Linked DNA regions of Lytechinus pictus. The main gene of each other region encodes a partner of the protein of the gene in region 2 in a complex. Links are inferred from orthologs where the notes say so. Each region holds a gene or a part of one and is shown on either strand. Other genes may lie near its edges.

Region 1 (7,756 bases), on a different chromosome or scaffold from region 2:
TTCATGAGGAGATGGCCAGCTCTCCAAGTCATCCGCCCAAGGTTGTTGGCTATCACTACGGCAATATCCACAACACCGGAGAGGATTGCCTGATACTACCAAGAACTGGACAAGATCCTGATAAAGTATGACCTAAAGGACAAACCTAGGTTCATATACAAAGTTGATGAAACAGGATTCAACCAGGAGCATTCACCATTGAGGTCGCCTTCAATCGTTTCCTGTCGCTCAGCAACCATAACACTCCTTGCCTGAGGATCAGCTGACAGATCGTCATTGCCACCCTATATTGTATTTAAAGGGAAGAACTTGATGGCAGAGCTGACTTGGGAATCATTACCAGGCAGCAGGTTCAAGATGACGGACAGTGGGTGGAGTAATGGTGATGTCTTCAGTCGGTTCCTGAGCAAGCATTTAATCCGATCCTTGCCAGACCGGGAAGCTGAGCAACAAGTTCTCCTACTGTATGATGGACACAAAAGCCACATAACTGTTCCCCTCATAGAAGCCCAGAAGCACAACGTGATACTCTTCCTTCTTCCCCCTCACACAAGTCACATTCTCCAGCCTCTCGACGTCGGCTGCTTCGATCCGATGAAGGCACAATTCAACAGTCAGTGCACAGATTTCCTCTCCAAGCATCCTGGAAGGTCAATCTCTAGATTTGACATGACAAGCCTAATCAGTCACGCATACCTACAGGCGATGAGAGAGGACAACCTCAAGGCAGCATTTAGGAAGTCTGGAATCTGCCCATTTGACCCCGAAGCAGTAGAGATCGAGAGGACGATGAGACCAAGTGCAATCACCAATGCCAACACCCCTCATCCGGTTCATCCCCCATCAACAAGCTCTATGGAGGCATCGTTAGTGACCAAGAAGCCTTCTCCACCTTCAAAGAATAGTCAGAGGGGTAGCCATCATGGAAACAGAATCTTCCTGCAGATCTACCGTTCTTCCACCATCGAGCAGACGACCCAGACTCGCATTTCTGAGGATAGATCAGATGATGACGAACGTTGTTGCCAGTGCCATTTGGACGATCCACCATCAGCCTCTGACATGGGCACTGTCATTAACTGGGCAGAATGTGACTCCTGCAAACACTGGTTGGGCCGGACAAGTTCAAATTGGCAACACATTTTTTTTTTTTTCAGGTTCCCTTGTGAGACGGAACAATGAAATATATGTTGATATGTATGAATATAAATATATGAATAAGTAATTATGTGAATATGCAAATATGTAAATATATGAATATATAAATATGTAAATATATATATATATATGTTAATATGTAAAATATGTGAATATATGAATATGTAAACAATTTTTATTTCTGAAAAAAAAAAGGAGATTTGTAAATGGAAAATGAAAAAAGAAAATGAAAACAAGAAATTCAGTTGAATATACAAATGATAACTTAGTGTCTTTTCTTCATTCTCCTTTGCTGTGTTCATGTGGCCATGAATTAAGTGTGCTGATAAGAGAACATGTTCATTCTCCCTTAATAAATTTCATTCCCCAATAAACAAAACAATAAGAATGGGTGGCGGGGGGTCTAATGATTTTGCCCCGAAAGAAGTTGACAATGATGTGAATTTTTTGTGAGAAATGTTGATAATGATATAATGAATAGATCCTGTAGTCATATTATACAATGGAAATTGTGGTAATGATGATGAAAATGGGATGATAAATGTAGTGACAGTGGTGATGATTGTGGGGGCACGCCTTTTGTGAAAAAATAGCTTTTACTTATAATGAAGGCCTAAATATATAATCTTAAAAGCAAGTAAAAAAAAATAATAACAAAATGATTTGCATGGTGAAATTGAATATGATGGAAATGAGAAGTAAATTTTTGGCATGATTTTGAGAAAAATGTCTTTGAATTTTAAAATCAATCATTTGGCCCTTGCCCGGCGCCTACCTCCTCCCAATCCTAAAATTTTCAGCAACGAGCAATCTATTGATAAGACGGTCATTGATGTGTATACAGAGGATTATTATCCATGATATTGCACAAGCCTATTCTCAACCTGGAAAAATATCAATAAAAAATAATAGTATTGCCTATTTCGAACTTTACTCAAATGGCTGGTATGTGCTGGACAATACGAGGTGGTTATCGAGCGTTTTGACACTTGTTGTCGACCACAAAAGGGCAACAAACTTAGGTCACACATGTGAGCAGAGCAGACTATGAAGTCGGTAGGCGTTACAAATTTCTTGAAATTACATTGATTTTAATCTGAAGTTTGAATTCCAAGCCATGAAATGTGAGATAAGATATTCTTGTTCTTTTGAGGTATTGGACGTTTTTTAAGGGTATATAATCTAATCTAGGTGTCTTGGAATTGTCAAGAAAACCAATATGTGCACTAAATACGGTCACCCCATCATAAGTCATCATGAACCATTAAAAAAATGAAATTTTCTGCATTTTATGTGATAAGTTATGGGGCAGCTGCTTGTTTTTTTTACATCAAAAATAAAAAAAATGAAGTTGTCAACTTGTACTTGTCTTGGACTTGTATTATTGTAAACTTTCTTAATCTTTTTTTCTCAAACCTTCACTTGACTTCACCAATATTTTTTAAATTATTATTAGACTTAAAATTCTGCTTATTTTTACTTTCGTCAGGGTGAACTTCCCCCTTTTTTAACACTAAAGAATTGTCTACATGGCTTCATGCGCACTTTGGTTAACTGAAACACACAAATGTCAATATATGGGACCACGCATATCATCTACGTACTCTTTACCTGTATTCGCGGGCACCTCTGTTGAAGGCAAAGTCGGCGGATTAGTCGTTGTTTGTTGCTGAGTCTGTGTTGTTTGGGCATTTTGGGTGGTTGCTGTTGATACTGGGTTGTTTGTGCTTTGTTGAATACCTGTGGGTGTTGTCTGAGCAGTTGAAGGAAAAATCTGTACCGCAGCGCAGAAGAGAATCAAAACTATTTTGGCGTCTGCTGGCAACCCCGCCATCTTGTCTGTGGTTATGAATAATAATATCAGCGTTGGGGGCGGGGCCGGGGGGTTCATTTACGCCCCTCAACAACAAATAATAATAATAATGATAATAATAAAATAATAAAACACACCACCAGCCGGAAGAATATTGACCTATTGATTCCTTGGCTGCAAACTTATAATGATAATAAAAAATAAAAAAATATCAATTCTTAATTTGTGCATGTGTATCTTTACGATTTTATTTTCTTCTTTTTGAAAAATTACAATTACTCCCACTAGCGGCCCGTAGGGGGGGGGGGGGCTTGAGAGGCAAAATTAATTTTTTTAATGTAGAAATGCCGTTAAAACATAAGTTTTTAAAGTGAATTTTTTTTTTTTTTTTTTTTATGCTTTTCAAACTTTTTCGTGGGCAAAATGTAACTTTGTCCTTAATTTTTGGTTAAATACCTTTTTTTTTTGCTTGTCAATTTTTTTCCTCTGGAAAATGTGCCCCCCCCCCTTTGGAAAATCCTGGATCCACCCCTGATTCGGCCAACTGTATATTACTGGTGTATTTGAAAATTCGGCGCCTCCATTCTTTGAATGAGCTCAATTCTTTTTTTTTTCTCGTTTTTTGTTGTTGTGCGCAATGCGGGGCATCATGAAAATCAGTAAGGTATGCATGGGGTCTTCGACGGCAGTTAATCATACCAGGGGCGTCGATCCCTTTTTCAGATTGGGGGGGGGGGCAAAATCATGAATCAACTTTCCAAAGGCGCTCGATCACACAAAACAAAAAAACTCACACACACACATGCCTATATATATATATATATATATATATATGTATGTGTGTGTGTGTGAGTGTGTATACACACTCACACACAAATATTATGTATATATATATGTGTGTGTGTGTGTGTGTATATATATAATGACTCATGACTGAGATAGAGACACATTTCTCACCAACAAATTAATGCGAGCGCGAAGCGCGAGTAGAAATTTCTTGCTTGGTACCAATGATTATGATGGGTATCTTAAAAAACAATAGATGCGAGCGCGAAGCGCGAGCTGAAAATTTTGATATTTTGATCTGAATTTTTTTTACTTTAATGGACGTTTTAAATAAAGAACAAGACATATATCCAAAAAAAGATTATTGCAAATCGAAGCGGGAGTTATTTTGAGGTTTAGAACTAAAAACGGGACGTTCTATTCATCTATTTAATAATGAAAAGTATGGGTTTTTGCTACAGAAATGATGCGAGCGCAAAGCGCGAGCTGAAATTTTTTTATATTCCAATCGGAAAAGCGGACAATTTGAGCATGATTTTTAAATAAAGAAATAGTTGTGTATCTCAATCTTGCTTGCTGATATCTGTGTAACATTACAATCTTATTTTATGTTTTGCACATGCGGAATTATTGGGGGGCAAAACGATATGTTTGCCCCCCAAATATTTTTATTGGTGGGGCGATCGCCCCCCTGCCCCCCAGGATCGACGCCTCTGAATCATACCATAATGTGTAATTGCCGTGGGGGCTCATTTAGGCCTGTTTTGAAATAAAGTATAGGGTCGATCGGGCACCAAATAAACAAGTCCCACTTTATGTTTAATAAACCAACAATTTTCAGAGGCAGTATCGTATACCCTGCGTGGCAAACTATTTGTTTTGAATGTGAGCTATAAAGTATGGCTTCTTTTTTTTATTAAAAGATATAATTTTGTGACAGATTTTGACGAAATAATATGAAAAAAATATATAAATCCGAAACTTCATGTATTGGGTCTCATTTTCTTTCCCTTTCTCTATCTTATTTTTGTATGGGGGAGGGGGTCATGGAACTATAACCCCCATGTGTACTCAGGCCTATAGGCCTACACACCTTTGCCAGTGGTAAAGCAGAATAACTTACTTTATTACAAGAGTATACTGGGGCCCGTTGCAGAAAGAGTTGCAATCGATCGCAACTCTAAAAATCATGCGTAACTTGATTTTCAACCAATCAACAGCGCGCATTTGGGACTTGCGATTGATTTTTTGACTTGCGTTTAAACGCAACTCTTTCTGCAACGGGCCCCTGGTCATGATAATCATGATAATCATTCTACTATTATGCACGAAGACAAATACAATTTTAAAGGGACTGCAATCTCCCGGTGCATCTAAATGATCTACGAGCCCAGTTACCAACTCCTGCCTATGTAGGCCTATATACATAATATTAATTTCAATGTTTTACACTGTTTTACTTAAGCCAGTTCGTAGTTAATCCTTTCTGCGCATGATCAAAAGATTCTACGCATGATCAGAGGAAGGTTATTTGTACTAAAGTGACATGGTGGTTTAAAATCTAATGAGATAAGCACCAACTTTGATGTCTTGATTATTCATATATTCTTTTGAATTGTGGTTTTCATTTACATCCACAAAAAACAACAACGCGTCCACGAACGACTGGTTTTCACCGGGGGTTTTCATAGTTTGCCAAGTACATTGTGCAACATGCTATGATATGCATTCAAAGTAGGAATGCAACCGTACAAATACCTTCATAAAGTGTTCATTGGTGTGCTATTCTAGTCACCTGGTCTATTCAATTTCTTCATCCTGCTATGTAAGGCAAGCTTACGTAATATTTTGCTTTGAAATCTGCCTATCATCATGAAAGAAATGAAAGGTCATTTGACCGAAAATTGTCCATGAGGTAACTACGAACTGGTCGATTAATAGGCCTACTATGTTACTTGATTTTTTGTTGTTGGATATGGAAATAAATGAAATGAAATATATATAACATGCCCGCAGGAGTTTAACTTTGAAAATTAGTTCAGGGTCGATCAATTTTTGGCAAGTAAGAATGAAACTCTTGGAGATTGGAAATAAATTACTGGAACGTACAGATGGGGGGGGGGGGGGGGGGGGGGGGGGGGTTAGGGCCCGTGGCGCCCCATTAAGTTCTATCACCAAGAAAATTAGTATAAAAAAAGAACAGGAAATGGAAATGACCGAATTATGATAATATTTTTTTAATATATCGTCAAAATTAATACAACATCATAGTTTTTCCTAGAAAGATCGTTCGTTTTGCTAACTTGCGAGATCTTTTTTTCAAATATTGGCCCCATCCACTCTTTTTGCCCCTCTATTTTTCAAATATATTTCTTTGTTCCTTACGCTACTGAACTGAATAAAGAAAAATTAAAGGGATGGTCCGGGCTGAAAATATTTATATCTGAATAAAAAAAGTAAAATTCAAAAAGTAAAATGCACAAAATTTGATCAAAATCGGATAACAAAATAACAAAGTTATTGAATTTAAAAATTTATCAATATGTTGTGAAAAACATTTATATGCACATCGTCATGAATATTCCAAATTGGCAAGTTTCCCTTGCTATGTACAATAAAACAAAAATACTACAGCATAAATGAAAGTTTCAGTTTTTGGGGCTCTAATATATAGGCCCTATATGCTTGATGGCAACTGAATAAAATCATATATTTTTTTTATCCCTTTCTTCATTTGAAGGGAGAACAATGAATGTTTTCTACTCGAAATAGTGCCAAAATCAAGCCATTTTGGGCAGAAACCCTTGATATGTACGTTTTTACTGATCACTGTTTTTTTGTGATAAAGGAATGCTACCGTCGCTCAGGTTGCTCTCTCGTATAAAAATATAATGAGGAACAGTTTAGAAGGGGGAGGCTGTACGCATAAAGTTTAGAGGGAGAAGTTCACAAATGTAAACCGTTTAATAATGGTATTTTTTGCATTTGTGTACACGTTAACTGAAAAAATTGTGCGTGTGTGTGGGGGTGTGGAAGATGAAAAACACCTAAGCACCGCCACTGCATATCCTGATATGGTAAAGCAATCTAATAAGGATCACAAAATAATCCACAAATAATATTCAGTTGGTGCAAGTGCCGCGGAACCGGTGGGGGGGGGGGGGGGCTGGGTGAGCTTCAGCCCCCCCCCCCCTTCCCAAAACCATGTACAAAACCTTAAAATGACCATCTGATCGATTGTGATTTTTTTTTGCATCGAAAGCATATCCCCCTTCCCGCTTTCAAAACCATTCCACGGCCCTGTGGTGTATTCATTCAACAACAAAAAATTTTCCTCATTAGCGGGTCTCGCTGCATTTTCATATTTGAATCCCGAAGCGTCAATAAAATCAAAGAGGAATAAAAAAAAAGTATAGCATATAATTTATATGCAGATCTACAGATGGTTATTTGTTTATATTTCCAAATAAGTCGTATAAAGATAAACAAAAAAGGTCATATTATGTGGTTTCCGATTTTTTTTTTGTGATTTGGGAGAATGCCATTTCTGAAACTATGATGCACAAGCATAATTTTTCTTTATACCTTGAATTGGTTATAAAATAACATTTCTAACCCTCAAAATATCATTGTGCAATTTTCCCTCTCTTGATGTGGTCTCTATATAGTATTACAGTAATCTATATCACATTTCGGGAGATGGTTACATTTAGAGGCGTATTTTGATACCTTGAAATATTTGCTTGACGAGCAAAAGGTACATAACATTATATTTTTCTCAATTGAATTATAAGTGACACGACCCACCCCACCGTTGTACTTTTCCTTCCCTTCATTCCTCTCTTTTATGCATCATTTCCCCATTTTCATAAAAAAAGTTAAATGCATAAGTCATCACAAAAATAGTAAGTTTTCTTTGCTTGCCTTCGACAAAAAAAGAAGATAATAATTAACTATTTTCTATTGTAAAGATAAAATAGATAAGCATAGGTGTTTGAT
Region 2 (7,768 bases):
TGGATTATCTATATATTATCTGGAAAATATATAGCATAATAATCCTAAATCTAAATAATAATGATAATAACAACAACACTAATAATAATAACACTTTTATCAGAATAGTGTATCTACAAACTTTATTGATAATAATGATATATTATTATCATCCCTGTCATTTGATACTGACTAACCCTAACATGATGTACATGTATGTACTTTTTCCACTCACTAATTAGCATTCTAACAAGAGTTTTAAACTCAATTGCTAGGTATTCTACATTGGATATCCCCTCTTACTAGGTAACCACTTAGCACCTGGGAAGAGAGTGTGGATTGATGCCTTGCCAAAGATCAGTATAAAGCCGCAGTGAAATTCGAACACACACTTCTCTGATGTTAAAACAAGAGTCAGAACCACTACAACATGATCCTCCATATCAGTTACTGGTACTCTAAAATCTATCAGAAAAACAACTTTCTAAAATGTATAATCTGAAGCTTATTGAAAATCAGTTGTGGATGTAAAATTTGTAATATTTGTATTTCTGATTTTCAACAAATGAAGTGTGATATTTTTTTTTTAATTGAATATAAAAAGTTAATTTTTTGTTATGTATTATATATCATGACATGAATGCATATAAAAAAAAATTACCAAGTGCAATGTTAATCCTGCCAAAGGTAACAATACAAATATTTCAAATATGAACTTACCATAGCATCTGCTGTTTGTGATCTAGCCTTCTTCTTCTTCTTTGAAGTTTTTCCAGAACCACTAAGGAAATTAAAAAATAGGATAATATTCTCATAAAAAGTTTATTTATGATGTACTTATAATCTCAACACTATTTGATTGTCTAATGTAACTATAACTAAATAAGAATTGAATTTAACACAAACTACTTTTGAGAAGTTGAAATTTTGAACTCAGAAATGTATATAAGCCAGAGTTCTGTCAATGGCATAAATACCATACATACTAATGTATTCTAGACATAAAGTAAGACAATAAGGATTAAGAACTTGACAGAGCTATCTGTTTGATATGAGCAAAAAAACATACAAGAATGTTTCTTAACTTTCAATATTCAAAATTGTTTTCAATTAGAAAATTGCAGTATCAATTTATATCATTGGCAGCTCAACTAAATAGAGTACCGTAATAAAATAATAGCAATGATAATGACAATCATAATAATGATAATAAAAATGATATTATCATTTTCATTGATAACAATAATGTAATCAATATATCACAGTAAAAATTATAATGCGCAATTCAATAATATATTCTGTTAACCTGCAGAGTGTAATAAATATTATTTCAATTTTTATAATAAGAGAGGTTTAGCTTCAAAAGAAACACTGAGAAATAGCCACATTATCATCTGTATTTTATTTTGATAATAAAATAGAAATACCTAGCATCCTGGTCCATTGCTGACTTCAGAAGCTCATCAAATTTAGCCCGTGTCTGGTTATGAATTTCATGATGTTCTGAGTGAGGAGCTTAAACAAACAAACGTGAAAAATTAGTCCAGGTATCATAACATATTGCTACATTTTTAGAACCTGAACAGAACCTACTGCAAATGAAACTGCTGTTCTGTATCATTATACATGTATGTCGGCTTGAGCAATCAATCAAAAATTGATTGAACATTTTGAATCAACTGCTATCTAATTACTTTTTTAGTCTGTCCAATCATAAGAGCCATGTGGAACAGGCATAACAACTAGGTAGATATAAGACCCTAATAATTATACAGTATGGCGACAAAGAAGAAATGTGGGAACATCAAGAACATAAATAACAACACATGTACATTATACATCTCGCTGAATCCTAGATTTAATCATCCTTAAAGGAGAATGAAACCTTTGGAACAAGATAGCTTGTGTTAAAACAGAAAAATCAAAGAAACGGATCAACAAAAGTTTGAGAAAAATCAGACAAATAATGAGAAAGTTATGAGCATTTGAATATTGCGATCACTAATGCTATGGAGATCCAACAAAGATGTGTGATGTCACTTGTGAACAACTCTCCCCATTACTTTAGTATATATTTCACTTAAACTGCCTCTTTTATCACATCTATCAGTGGATCATATGTTCTTTCTATAGGAGGGCATGTAATACAGATTTTTTAAAGAATACTTCATGGATAAAGAGTTTCTATCATCATAAGAAAAAGCAAAAAGAGACATTTTGGGGTATTTTATAGTCCATCAAAGGGAAAGTTGTTCACATGTGACATCACACATCCTTGTCGCATTGCCAATCGAGGATCTCCATAGCATTAGTGATTGCAATATTCAAATGCTCATAACTTTCTCATTATTTGTCTGATTTTTCTCAAACTTTTGTTGTTCTTATTCTTTGATTTTTCTGTTTCGACACAAGCCTACTTGTTCCAAAGGTTTCATTCCCCTTTAAGTTTTTAACACCTCCTAATTGGAAATTGTACTGTTTGCACTTGGCAGAACATTTAAACAAAAATGGTGATTGGTTACAATTATTACAATGATTGTGAAGAAGATGAGGATAATGATTATGATAACTATAATGATTATAATCAAATCATGGTGATGATGATTATAGTGATGATTATGATTATGGTGATGATTATGGTGATGATGATTATGAAGATTATGATTATGGTGTTGATGATGATGATGATGATGATGATGGTGAAGACAATTCTTATGAACATGATGATGGTGATGATTACAATTATGGTGATGATTATGATTATGGTGATGATCATAATTATGATCATGATGATTGTAATGATGAGGAGGGGAGGAGGAAGATAAGGAAGATGATGATAGTGAGAAAGGAGTCATCTTCTCTTCTTCTCTACAAGTACAGTGTCTCAAATGAGGGGTCTAAGTGTCTCAAATGAGTTATGTACTGTACTCATTGTCCTGTATATTGCGATATCCAGGATGACAATGACAATGGTCCCTGCTTGATTTGAAGTGCAAGTCTGATACTTACACAGCGCTCTGTCCTCATCTTGGCTGTTGCCATCATGTGGCAGTTTGCGTCCCTTTTTCTTGACCTTTCCTGTGAACAAAGCAAATTACAAATGTAGCATTTAAACCGGCAAGACTTCCATATGTCCCCTCCACTAAAAAGGTTTATCAGGAATTATCTAACATGTATCTAAGAGATTTAAGAAGGAAAAGTTGGATACATACCAAAATATGGCTTTATTCTGTCAAAATTTCGAGTGTGTGTAATTCAAAATGGCATTGGTTTAGTCTATTTAGTCAGAAAAATAAATACCCAATACTCTTGGAGAGAAGACTAGTCGTAATATCGGTTGATAACCCATGGCTTTCAACAATTCATACTAGCTCAGTGAGTAAGGCGACATACGGTAGTGGAGATTCAACTGAAATCACCAACACACTCTAAACATGTACAGTACACATTCACATTCAAAATCTTGAATAAAAAGTGAAATTTTCTTCCCTAAATCACCATATCTCGCATCAAAAATATCACCATCGGTATTTCTTAACATCGTAATTAAGAAACAAAGGGTCTAAAAAAGTGGATTTTTCACGGTTTTCCCGATGATCGTGGATTTTGAAAACATGTCCACGGTAAAGACTAGCACTTTCGCGAGCCGATGTCGGCCGCCATTTTTTTCCAGAAGTCAATGCTGAGATCGAAAAATAGTAAAAAACATGAAAAATACGACAACAACACCTCAAAATATAGCGCCCCAAGAGAGGCCGTTGCGTGTACGCTCGCTATTTTCACATGCGTTTGCAATGGAACTGCACACTCAGCAGCGTTCGCTCGCAGTTTAAAGGTGAATTGCAGCTGCCTCACGGTGCCTCACGGAGCTTGCGGGAGCGCCATAGGAATCGTACATCGGACCGCGCACCGGAGACAGGGTGGCCGCACACAGAAGAATGCTATCGCAGTCAGAAGTGGTGGTCAATCTTGACCACCGCGATTGCTATCGGCCAATTTTCACGATAAAAAAAATAAGTACCATCAGTCCTTTTTATATGATATGTATGGATTAAACTAGTTTGTGCAAAATAGGTACAGGATGGGAAAAACCCTTAAGCGGGCGCACATCAGGGACTGTCTTTTTAAATTAGTGGAGGGGTCATAAGGAAGTCTTTTCTTTAAACCTCTGCAACATTCTGCTTGACAAGCATGATAAAGGAAATTGACGATAGGATCCCCCTTCAAAATTCTCCAAAAGTATAGAGGCAATGATCATCAAAAAAGAAAAAAAAAAGGAAAAGCCAAAAAAAAGGAAAAGAAAAAAAAAAGGAAAAAAGAAAGAAAGCTTAAAAACAGACAAAACAAAAATAAATAGGTCCAGTAGAATAAACAATGAAAAGAAGATGACAGTAGATCTAAGTAAGTTAAAGTTACTTAAGAAACCATCAAAAAAAGGAAAAGGAAAAGAATCTGAAGTTCTTTCAACAAAAAAGCTCAAATAAGTCAAAAAAGCAGTGGCAAAAATAGTCATTCTTGACTGGTTGCCAGCCAGCCAAACCAAACAAAGAAGAAGCATTGGCTTTACCCTCTTATGATTATGAACAGCCTCTAACGTTAGTTTAAGTTAGATCTAGAATTCTAAGTTAGATCTAAGTTAGTCTTTTTTTTCTAGTTCGGACTCGGAGTTGTCTTTATGGTAGGGGGCCCTAAAGCTATGCGGGTCCCACTCATGGGATCAATGCATCTCGCGTGCGAAGGATTCATATGCACATGGTGCACGCGAATTTTTCACACCCTTTTTACTAAAATAACTATGCCATTCCTTTTAAAATAATGTTTCTAATTGTGCTATGACACTTACCGAACCATATGGATCGTTTCTTGACTTCTCTTTGGTGTGTTTTTAAGAAAAAAAAAGCATTTTCTCGTGATCTTCACGTAGATACCGCAGGGTCATCGTGGTTGTAAACTTTTGCTTAAAGAGGGCGCGCGATATTATTCACAAGATGTTTGTTTACGGTTCTGCAGCTTGTACTGCTAGCTGCATTTTAGACGCTCGGCATTATTTTCCTCTTTCTGTTTTTTTTTTGCTGTCAAGCGGTATTTTCTATTGTAGCGCCATCAGCGATGATGAAATGTAAAGAGTCGCCTTGAAATGAAGAAAAATTATGTCACATTAATTCGTTAGTTTGTTTCCTATTTTTTTGCACTTTTTTCTTCTTCCTCATCTATGATCAAAGGTGAATACCTTTTTTTGATATCTGTTCTAAAAGCTGGACATTTTAAATATTTTGTTCAAGTAAATAAATCAACAGGATAGTAATCAAAATGCGATAGAGCTGCCCGAGCTGAAAATTCTGATACAAGGACTTGAAAATAAAACATTCTGAGCACTTTTTATAACCATGATGAGGAGACCTATATATATATATATATATCAGGGTTGTAATAAAAAACATTTTTTATCAAAAAAAACAAATAAAACGTTTTTTATTGTTTTAAAACATTTTATTTCCAACGAATGATGCAATTTTCTGTAAATCAATTAAACTATACACTATTACAGTATGTTTTAAATAAGAGATGACCACAATTTTGTTAATGAATTTCCAACAGAAAAGTTCATATTTCCCCCCAAATCACTAAATCATGGAAATTGAATGCCTACAACAACAAAAAACACTTTATAAGTAAATTGACATTTCATTCCTAATACATGTACATATACATGTAGTTCCAAGGTATATTGAGTCTTGTCAATGGGGGGGGGGGGGGGGCAAGAAGAATTTGCACAATGGAAGAAATTGATATACATGGGGTTTCAAAGCTTAATTTCATTACCGGTAAATCAATATGCTTTATTTCATTTGAATCAATTATACCAATTTTAGTGCATGAAATTCAAATTCAGTTCAAATCTATAAATAAAAACCTTGAACTACTTTTTTTTTTTTAATTCAGGAATGCTGATCAAATGTATATTAAAAAAAAATCAGTATAGAATGTTTTTTTTAGCCCTAATAAGATTGGAGGGGGGCTGATTCAGCACCCCTCCAGTCTGATTCAGCCCCCTTCGTCACTCAGACTTTTCTTTTTCAAGTCTCACGCAACTTTTGAGACCAAAATTGCGACCTATGCGGTTCCGAAATTATGCAACATTCTGTAAGTGCATGCAGACCCAAAATTGCTCAAAAACGTGAATTCGTGTACAAATCCAATGCAAATAGTGTTTTTAACCAAAATTCATAAATGTCTCATTATTTTTCCTTTACTGACTAAAATCAATTAATTTCACCTTGTTTATGGTCAAAATATAGTCCCTGACTATTTCCATTGAAAAAACAATAAAATACATAAAAAATAAATGTGATTTTGAAATTTTTTAAAGAACATTTGATCAGATTCCTACAAAGAATGAACCAAAAATGAGCATTTCAGGGGCATTATTTATAGAGCAAACTTGATTTTACGCATAAATTAGCAATGAGACTTATGCAAAATTTGATTTATAGTTTTTTAGATTATGCCATGGGTAACGCCGTGCCAATTTTTGTTGTGATCCCGTGATCGACGGCTCAGATCATAAGGGTGGGGGGGGGGCACCCTCAGTCTTCTTAGGAAACGAAATAGCCCAGTCTATTTAGGTTACCGGTAATGTTTTCTAAAACTTTTTTATATTTCTTATGTACAGATTTTTAAACCTTTTTTTTATTACTTATAGAAATTTTTGGCAATAATTTTCCAATCATTAACAATAAAGTAAAAATAATGATACAGATACAAATTTTGGCAAGAACTCACAATTTTGGCAAGAACTCACATTGGGTTTATACATGAAATCACATTTTTGAGCAATTCGGGATCTGATTATGCACTTGTGGTGTATATCATAACTGCATACCCAAGCATGCATCCCCAAAATAGTCTTGAACGATATGCCGTGGCCCTGTCATGTTTATGGATTTATCATATACATTTTTAGGGGGACATTATAAAGGTCCCCTTGAATTGTTAGGGTTAAGGTTTGCTAGCTGATTATCTTATACTGTTTAAAGAAAGTACTTTTCTTCATCTTTATGAAGCACAAAGTTTTATACCTGCTTTTGTGTGTACCTCAAGAGTATGATGTCAGGTTTACAGTCTATTTGTAAAATATTATTGTGCTTGTGCAACACTTCCATTTCATTCAAGTACTTTTATTACATGTACATGTATTTGAGCTCATGTTTCCTTCCCTGTCCAAAAAGTGAGCACAACACTCAGATATGTTTGTTAAAATGAGAATATTCTTAATATGGATTGATGTGCACAATTGAACAGGGAGAAGAGGAACATAACAAAGCAATGGAGAAAGAAAGAATAAAGGGAGAAAGAGAAAGAAGAGAAAAGGAGTGGCATTGAAAAAGAGTTTTATTTAGTTAGAAGAAAATAATACACCACTTAAGAAATAACAGTATAAAAAAAAAAACATTCATCTAAAAACACATCCATGCAAATTTATAACACACAAGTCTATGCGGTGTTTTAAAACAGGTTTTTTTTTGTAAAAAAAACTGGTGTTTTAAAACGCGTTTTAAAACATGTTTTAAAACACACCGTTTAAAACGCGCCAACCCTGATATATATATATATAGTGTGAAAGAAATGGATGAAGAGAACAATGGTAGGCGTAGCTTAAATCAAGGTTCCCCAGAGCTATCTACCCTTTTTGGAAAAATTGGTGATGCCGAAAAAATGTCTCTGCCGGGAATCGAACCCGGGCCCCCAGCTTTGAACGCCGGTGCCTTAACCACTAGACCACAGAGAC
Region 3 (7,487 bases), on a different chromosome or scaffold from region 2:
AGGGGAGGAGGAGGAAGAATATGAACAGGAAAGGAGGAAGGGGAGGAGGAGGAGGAAGAGGAGGAACAGGGGGAGGAGGAGGAGAAAGAAGAGGATGAAGAATAAGAACAGGGGGGAGGAGGAGGAGGAGGTGGAGGAGGAAGAAGAGGAGGAGGAGAAAGAAGAGGATGAAGAATAGGAACAGGGGGAGGAAGAAGAGGAGGAAGAATAGGAACAGGGGGAGGAGGAGGAGGGAGAATGAAGAATAGGAACAGGGGGAGGAGGAGGAAGAAGAAGAGGAGGAAGAATATGAACAGGGGAGGAGGAGGAAGAGGAGGAGGAGGAAGAAGAGGAAGAGAAGGATGAGGAAGGAGAGGGGAGGGGAGAGAAAAGGAGTAGAAGGATGTGACAGACACTTACTCACTCTTTCTACTCACAATAAGTAAAAGGAACTGCTCATTTATGTTCACAACATAGAAATTTCATCTCTGCTTAATGTATCAACATAAAAATATCTATTTTCATCTGATGACTACCAATCTGAAATAAATGAAGCTGTTTTCATCACCTGCCATAATATATTCATAATTCATTCATCTGTTTTATTTACCAAGACGAGCATTATCAGAGGATAAAAGACTGTGTCGGGGGAGGGGGGGGGGAGGCTGCAAAATAAGATCAACTAATAAGATATACACAGGGAAATGAAAATACTCACGCCACATCTACTGAATTGTACTCTGTATCTGTGTAGGTTTCAGGTAGGCAGGCTCGTACATTAGCATCCTACAAAAAAAATTGAAAAAGGAAAATAATATAATTGTTTAATATTGATAACATTCATATCTTGTGACATTTTTAGCAAAGTTTTTTTTACGAAAATGGATTGTCTTGCTTTAAATAATAGGAAACTCTTCAGAGGGGTTTTCACAAAGAGGTATATGTAAGTATGATTAAGTCATTTTTTCCACATAAATGAACAAAGTAATGCACATGTATAACCTGACCAATGAGGTGATGTGTATATTTCAAACTCTATTTCCTGTACATTTCCTTAAAAATTTCAATCCAATATGGGAAATCTATCAATTCATTTTTGCAATATCGTCATGTACTTTCACAAAGTTAAAGTCGTTGTAGTCCTCCTCCACCACAACCACCACACCACTTCTAGTTCTTTACTTCTGCTACATTTTACCAATAACACTGTAATCAGTAACAACAAAATGTTAACAATTAATAAGCGAACAATTACTCAGTTGTTCTTAATCTCGTTTCAACTGGAAAAGAATTTTTGTTACCTACCCGTGACCATATGAGAGTGACAGTGATAACCAGATGAGCAATTAGGCACAGGAAACGGGCTGGGATCAGATTTGTTAAAGCCATTAGGATTTAGGACTATCCACCAATTCTACTGGATCATTAAGAACATAAAAGAAGAAATCATACATTACATTTTAAAACATCAAAAATGTTTTTATATACTTTATATACGAATATTCACTGCTAGAGTAAATTCTGAGCTGATTTTATTCTTTGCATGGTATGAAAATGACAATGAGAGCCTGCAGAAAGAAAATCCAAAAAGACAACTTTAGCTTAAAGTAAAAGATTTAATTTCATTATCTATTCATTTATTTCCATCAACTCCCAATAAAATTATCCTAATGTTAGAATTAGAAAGTAAAAGATCTAACTTAGCCCTAATAGTATTTTCAAAGATAGAATCAACAGCAAGAAAAACAATATCTTCAGATACCAGAGAACTACACGTCTACACCAGTTACACAGCAAAATTAAAAGGAATATAAATAATTATGGAATAAGAATCCTACCAAGTACCAAGACGACGTCACAATGTCATGAAAAAATTTCCAAACGTTCAATTTTTTTGCCTTTTTTCAGCTCAAATCAAATACGTGATTTTAAGCTGTGCCTGGTGAAATTTGGCTCAAAATCAAATTAAATTGTAAAAAATTACATTAAATAGTTTTGCCAAGGCCAAGCCATGGCTAAAAGTAAGAAATTGCAAAACGCCCTGGCCTTGGCAATGCCAGCCAGGGCCAAATTCAAATTAACCCAGGGAAGTCCCGCCCGCTGTGCGGGCGGGAGCCCAGGGGCTTACCGTGTATTTGACCATACTCACGGGACTAGCGTGATTTATGGTCTAAATATTTCTCCAAATGAATTGTGAAAACAGAAATTATGCACTTACCACGATTATATGGATGAAGGTCTAACGAGTGGCAGTTTCCTGACATCGCGGCACAGACTGGAACTTCAAAAAAAACGAAAAGTTCTCTCCTTCTACCCCAGTCTCGATCGGCCATTTTGTTACGATTCATAACAAAAATGGCCGATCGAGACGGGGGTAGAAGGAGAGAACTTTTCGTTTTTTTTAAGTTCCAGTCTGTGCCTCGATGTCAGGAAACTGCCACTCGTTAGACTTTCATCCATATAAATTAATCGTGGTAAGTGCATAATTTCTGTTTTCACAATTCATTTGGAGAAATATTATTATTCAGACCATAAATCACGCTAGTCCCGTGAGTATGGTCAAATACACAGTAAGCCCCTGGGCTCCGGCCCGCTGTGCGGGCCGGAGCTCCCTGGGTTAAATTCAAATAAGACTTTATAATAAGAGGACCATCACCCAGAGGCTCGTCCACGCACCGCCGGTTTGGCCGGTGACAGCAGCGGAGCTTCCCCGTTCCGAATCGTCTTGACCCTGCCCTGGCTAAGCTGGGAAGCTGAGCCTCTGAGTCTGGGGCCCTGTCTCTATCCCGAGTGATATGTTTCTGTGATGACTGTATTAAGGCTCAAATCTAAAAAAAAATCTAAAATACTTACCTAGGGCGTTTGCAAGTGGATTTAGACCCTTTTATTCAGCTGCTTGAATCCAAATCTGGATCGTGAAACCATGGACGCTCACACTTTTCGACAGGAGCAGGGATTTGTTTCACAAAAGATTTGTAAGTGTAAGTTCGCAACCTTATGTTGGTTGCATACGCGAGTTTCTATCGATAATATCAGAAGCTAGATTTAGGACGAGTTTGAGAAACCGTTCCCGGAAGTTAATGATCGGACAAAGTTCACGGAGCTTCGGTTTCCCATTGATGATGTTGGAACTTGTGTGTAAGTGCCACGTTTGATAAATTTAAATCGAAAATACCATGGTAAGTTGTTATCTTTTATTTAATAATTTTCCATTATTTAAGTGGATAATTGTGTGTTTGTAAAACTATTCACGAATGGAGGGTGTGGACACGGAGTATAATTGAGTAAAAAGATGTTGATTTGTCTTTTTTTTCGTCGCGGCGGAGATGGCCGATGCTTATGGAGTTTTTCTAGCCTCATCCTTACCATGGCATGGGCCGTTCCGCTGGGGGAGACGACGGGCACTGTACCCATTGAAGCAGACGCACGTAGCCGTAGCTACATTGTAGGGCCAGGTAGCCGCTTGTGCATTTCAATCATTTGTGAAGGCCTGAGCTGAGGCAGAAGAAGAGGTCATTGACATTATAATTGGACTGAAGATTAAACATGAAATTTGTTAATATTCTATGAAAGTTTTGGCCGGTGTGAAATTAAAGTTTAAACTGCATTATTAGAAATAGAAATTACTTGGAATGATTAGAATTAATTTTAGATCTAGAAAATCATTTGTCATTTAGTGCCAAACTAAGGCAAAGTTCATGAAGTTTCATTGAAATTTGATATGCCCTAACTCCTAAGTAATTCTTGCAAAGTGTGCCGGGCAAGAATTATTGTTGGCTTGAGCAAGAACAGAATAAATATTATTTTACAAAAAAACGCAGCCTGTAGTACACTGCATACTGTAGAGTAGTGTAACTATTTATTGTAAAGTTAGAGTTAGACCTAACGAAAGCCAAAAAGGTGTTCAGTTTCAACATTGGCAATTGGTAACGTTGCCCGTTGGCAATTTTCATGAATTCACAATTTTCTTTTATGCCCAAGATTCGACATGTTAAGCTCTTCTGCAATTTTTTTTGTTCTAAAATTTCTTTTCACAAAATGATATTTGCACCAATGTTTGTTAAATATATTTGTCTATCTTTAATTGCAAATTTGCAATGTTCATTTTCAATTTCCATCTGAATAATACATAAAATCTTGAAATGTATCGCCATGTTTCGATTCGACATCCCCTGCCCTTCGTACGACATAGCGCATCGCGCGCTCAAAAATGCAAGGCGAGAGCCGCTGAATTGCGCCGCATCGCATGCGATGTGCAACCCAGAAGTTGCAGCGGTCATTCGCTCACGCATTGCGATCGGGGCCCCTGTCGAATGAAGGCGACCTGCAAGCATGCCTTGACTTCAAAGAATTCTGTGCAAATTCAATGCCGTTGAATTTTTCTTTCTTTTTCTTTTTTGATTGGAAATTTTGAAGATACGATCCTAAATTTGCGAGAAAGTTATCGTACTCGGAGCAGAACCAAGGATTTCTTTATTTTTGACACATTTTTCGGCGACCCCGCTTCTTAAATCTGAGCTAAGCCGCCAAATGCTCTGGATATATGGTGAATATTCCGCATTTCAAGGGAAATTTTTGACATTTTAAAGGGGATTTTTTTTTGTTAAAATCAGGACTTTTTGGTGGCAAGTGATAGTGCCTATGTTTATAAAAATGTGTTTGGTGTGTGTTTTTGTGACTGTGCTGGCTTGTGAAATAGGTTTGCCATGTCGAATCTCGGCACTTGTCGAATTTTGGGCGTGTTACTCTATTTAATTTCACTCTTACTTTTTGAGTAATCTTGTGACAAAGTAACAAAACAGTTTAGTTCTGTCCTTTGAACTGCAGATGATTAGTGTGAGATAGATATCATAGACTTAGATCCTTATTTCTTTCAAGAGTGGTTACTTTCATTGTTGTCAAGTAACATGATCCCGAGTTATATAAAGCTCTGTGATGGTTTTGAAATTTTTATCAAGCAGGGGGGTGTTTCACAAAGTTTTAAGTATGACTTAGAGTCGCACTTAAATACCAAGTTGCGTACGGTATGAAAGACTTGACCGCATTGGCCATATCGTGTCATGAGGACGCGCACTACTGCGTATTTATTATCAATAAGATCGCATATCATGTACGTGTCGGCATTTAAGTGCGACTCAAGTCATACTTAAATCTTTGTGAAACGCCCCCCAGGGGGCCGTTTCATAAAGCTGATCATCAGTCAAGAGCGACTTTAAGAACGACTGGTGATCCTTTCTTGTGGTAAATGATATTGACCATTAAATGTTCATTGGTGATTATTTAGAGTGTAAGAAAGTTTCACCAGTCGTTCTTAAAGTCACTCTTAGAGGACTATTCCACCTGAACAAAAAGTTGATTTGAATAAAAAGAGAAAAAAATACAACAAGCATAACACTGAAAATTTCATCAAAATCGGATGTAAAATAAGAAAGTTATGACATTTTAAAAATTTGCTTATTTTCACAAAACAGTCATATGTACATCCTGATCGGTATGCAAATGAGGAGACTGATGACGTCATCCACTCACTATTTCTTTTGTAGTTTATTGTATGAAATATTCTAACTTTCTTCTCATTGTCAAGTGAAACAACAATTAATTCCTCCCTGAACATGTGGAGTTATCATTATTTAATACTATATGATTTAGTCAAGTTGGTCCTTATTGTCAAATCTATAAATAATGAAATATTGTATAATTCAAACAATAAGAAACAAAAGAAATAGTGAGTGAGGGACATCATCGACAGTCCCATTTGAGTTGTGCATATCACTGTTTTGTGAAAAGTAAGCAAAACTTTAAAATGTCATAACTTTCTTATTTGACATCCGATTTTGATGAAATTTTCAGCATTATGCTAGTTTGATTTTTCTCAATTTATTCAAATCAACATTTTTGTGGGGTGGACTTGACCTTTAACTTACGAACAGCTTTATGAACTCCCACCTTGTGTGTTATTCTTACTAATCTCTGATGAAAATTTCAAAAAGACTCTTTCTCTGCTCAGGGCCCGGTACAGTATGTAACAAAAAGCTTTGATAGTGATTGATCAAGGGGCTGATTTTACGAGTAATCAATGGAATAAATCATAAAATTAGATATTAGCCCCATGATCAGTCGCTAAGCTTTCTAACCCATGGATTGCTGTGTTAAATTACACTTGATCTTGTGTACCCTCAGATAATGTTTGAGATGCAATGTTTTTTGCTCGTTATTGTTCCAGGCTGCACAAAAGATTTCTAAGTTTTGACTAGATGCTGCAAAGTGCAAATGGCTTTGGTCATTTTGTGATATTAGAAATTCATTTTCTTGATTGCAAACAGGGATAGACAGACCACTTATTTTCAAATGAGAATTTTTATCAGAACTTCTTATTTTGACCCATGCCTTATCATTTTAGTACACTGTATCCTACAGGAATTTGCATTTGTAAACATTTTATAATTATGTTCATTCCTTTTTTTTATTCACATGACAGCCTCTTAGATTGGATATAAAGGTAAGAAATCTATTTCCACCTTTTTCTGTTGTTGTTTTTTGCAGTAACACAATGCATGTTTTGAAAATATATCTTTATCATTGAAAGCCAAAATCAGTGTATACTATGCACCTGTAATAAATTACTAATTTTAGTGAAACATGTGAATATTTTATGTGATAAAAATATCATGTATTTTTTCAAGCAAGGGTTTAAGATTTTTGAGGATTTTTTTAAATTAAAAGAATATTAATATTTTATGAAATTTGGACTTATCAATCATGAGTAATGCTATTCTTGTACAATTTGGGTTTCTTATTTTGGGGGAATTTTTTTTTCCCCATGCATGTTAAATGTGAGTGTGACATAGTCAAAGAAAATTGATCACATACTTCAGTAAACTTTAAGAAAATTACATGAAGTCTTTGACACCCCTCTGCAAACCAATTACATAACTGCATGTTTTGAAACAATATCTCAAAAAAGATCTCTGTTTCTACTTCGTAAAGTCCTTTATCTACTCCTAATCTGTTTGTTCGTTCGTTCCTGACTTTGTTACAATGTGATAAGTACGACATGTATATAAAAGCAGTATATGATAATTATATCTGTATATATTTCCCCTTCAGCGAAAGCTTTCAGCACGGTCTGACCGTGTAAAGTGCGTTGACCTTCATCCATCTGAGCCATGGATGCTTGTCAGTTTGTACAATGGTAACGTACATGTATGGAACCATGAATCACAGGTGAGAAAAAAAAATATTGTACTTAAAGGTAAATTGTGTCATTGGTTTATTTCAAAACTTTCTTTTAAATTTCACTCTTTGCTTTCCACGATATTCATAAACAAGTTCTGAGTCCATACAATGTATTGCATTGGCTAGAAAGAACTGTTTTTATTCTCAAAAAAATATATAAAGATGAGAAGATTTGCCGAGTGAGCTTTTTTTTATTTATTTTTAAAACTAACATAAAAAATGAAGAGCGCCACCTTGAGACCAAATTACATCAATACCTGCTCATGAATATT

What was found.
Region 1: jouberin-like (region 2) and tectonic-1-like share a complex: the UniProt entries of both Homo sapiens proteins name them as parts of the tectonic-like complex. The link is inferred for Lytechinus pictus from reciprocal best matches to the Homo sapiens genes AHI1 and TCTN1.
Region 3: jouberin-like (region 2) and transmembrane protein 107-like share a complex: the UniProt entries of both Homo sapiens proteins name them as parts of the tectonic-like complex. The link is inferred for Lytechinus pictus from reciprocal best matches to the Homo sapiens genes AHI1 and TMEM107.

Annotation. Positions count from the first base shown.
Region 1 is NC_087250.1:19,610,209-19,617,964, forward strand, and holds the start of tectonic-1-like, read right to left. Parts: upstream 3,021-7,756; 5' UTR 2,993-3,020; coding exon 2,770-2,992; intron 2,653-2,769; exon of another isoform or gene 2,648-2,652; intron 1,091-2,647; exon of another isoform or gene 302-1,090; intron 224-301; exon of another isoform or gene 1-223. UniProt on the Homo sapiens protein: Component of the tectonic-like complex, a complex localized at the transition zone of primary cilia and acting as a barrier that prevents diffusion of transmembrane proteins between the cilia and plasma membranes.
Region 2 is NW_026974140.1:16,630,780-16,638,547, reverse strand, and holds the start of jouberin-like, read right to left. Parts: upstream 3,056-7,768; 5' UTR 2,989-3,055; intron 1,495-2,988; 5' UTR 1,424-1,494; coding exon 1,407-1,423; intron 761-1,406; coding exon 700-760; intron 1-699. UniProt on the Homo sapiens protein: Involved in vesicle trafficking and required for ciliogenesis, formation of primary non-motile cilium, and recruitment of RAB8A to the basal body of primary cilium.
Region 3 is NC_087258.1:18,218,737-18,226,223, reverse strand, and holds the start of transmembrane protein 107-like, read right to left. Parts: upstream 3,021-7,487; 5' UTR 2,833-3,020; exon of another isoform or gene 2,685-2,832; intron 1,397-2,684; exon of another isoform or gene 1,394-1,396; 5' UTR 1,369-1,393; coding exon 1,285-1,368; intron 766-1,284; coding exon 698-765; intron 1-697. UniProt on the Homo sapiens protein: Plays a role in cilia formation and embryonic patterning. Requires for normal Sonic hedgehog (Shh) signaling in the neural tube and acts in combination with GLI2 and GLI3 to pattern ventral and intermediate neuronal cell types.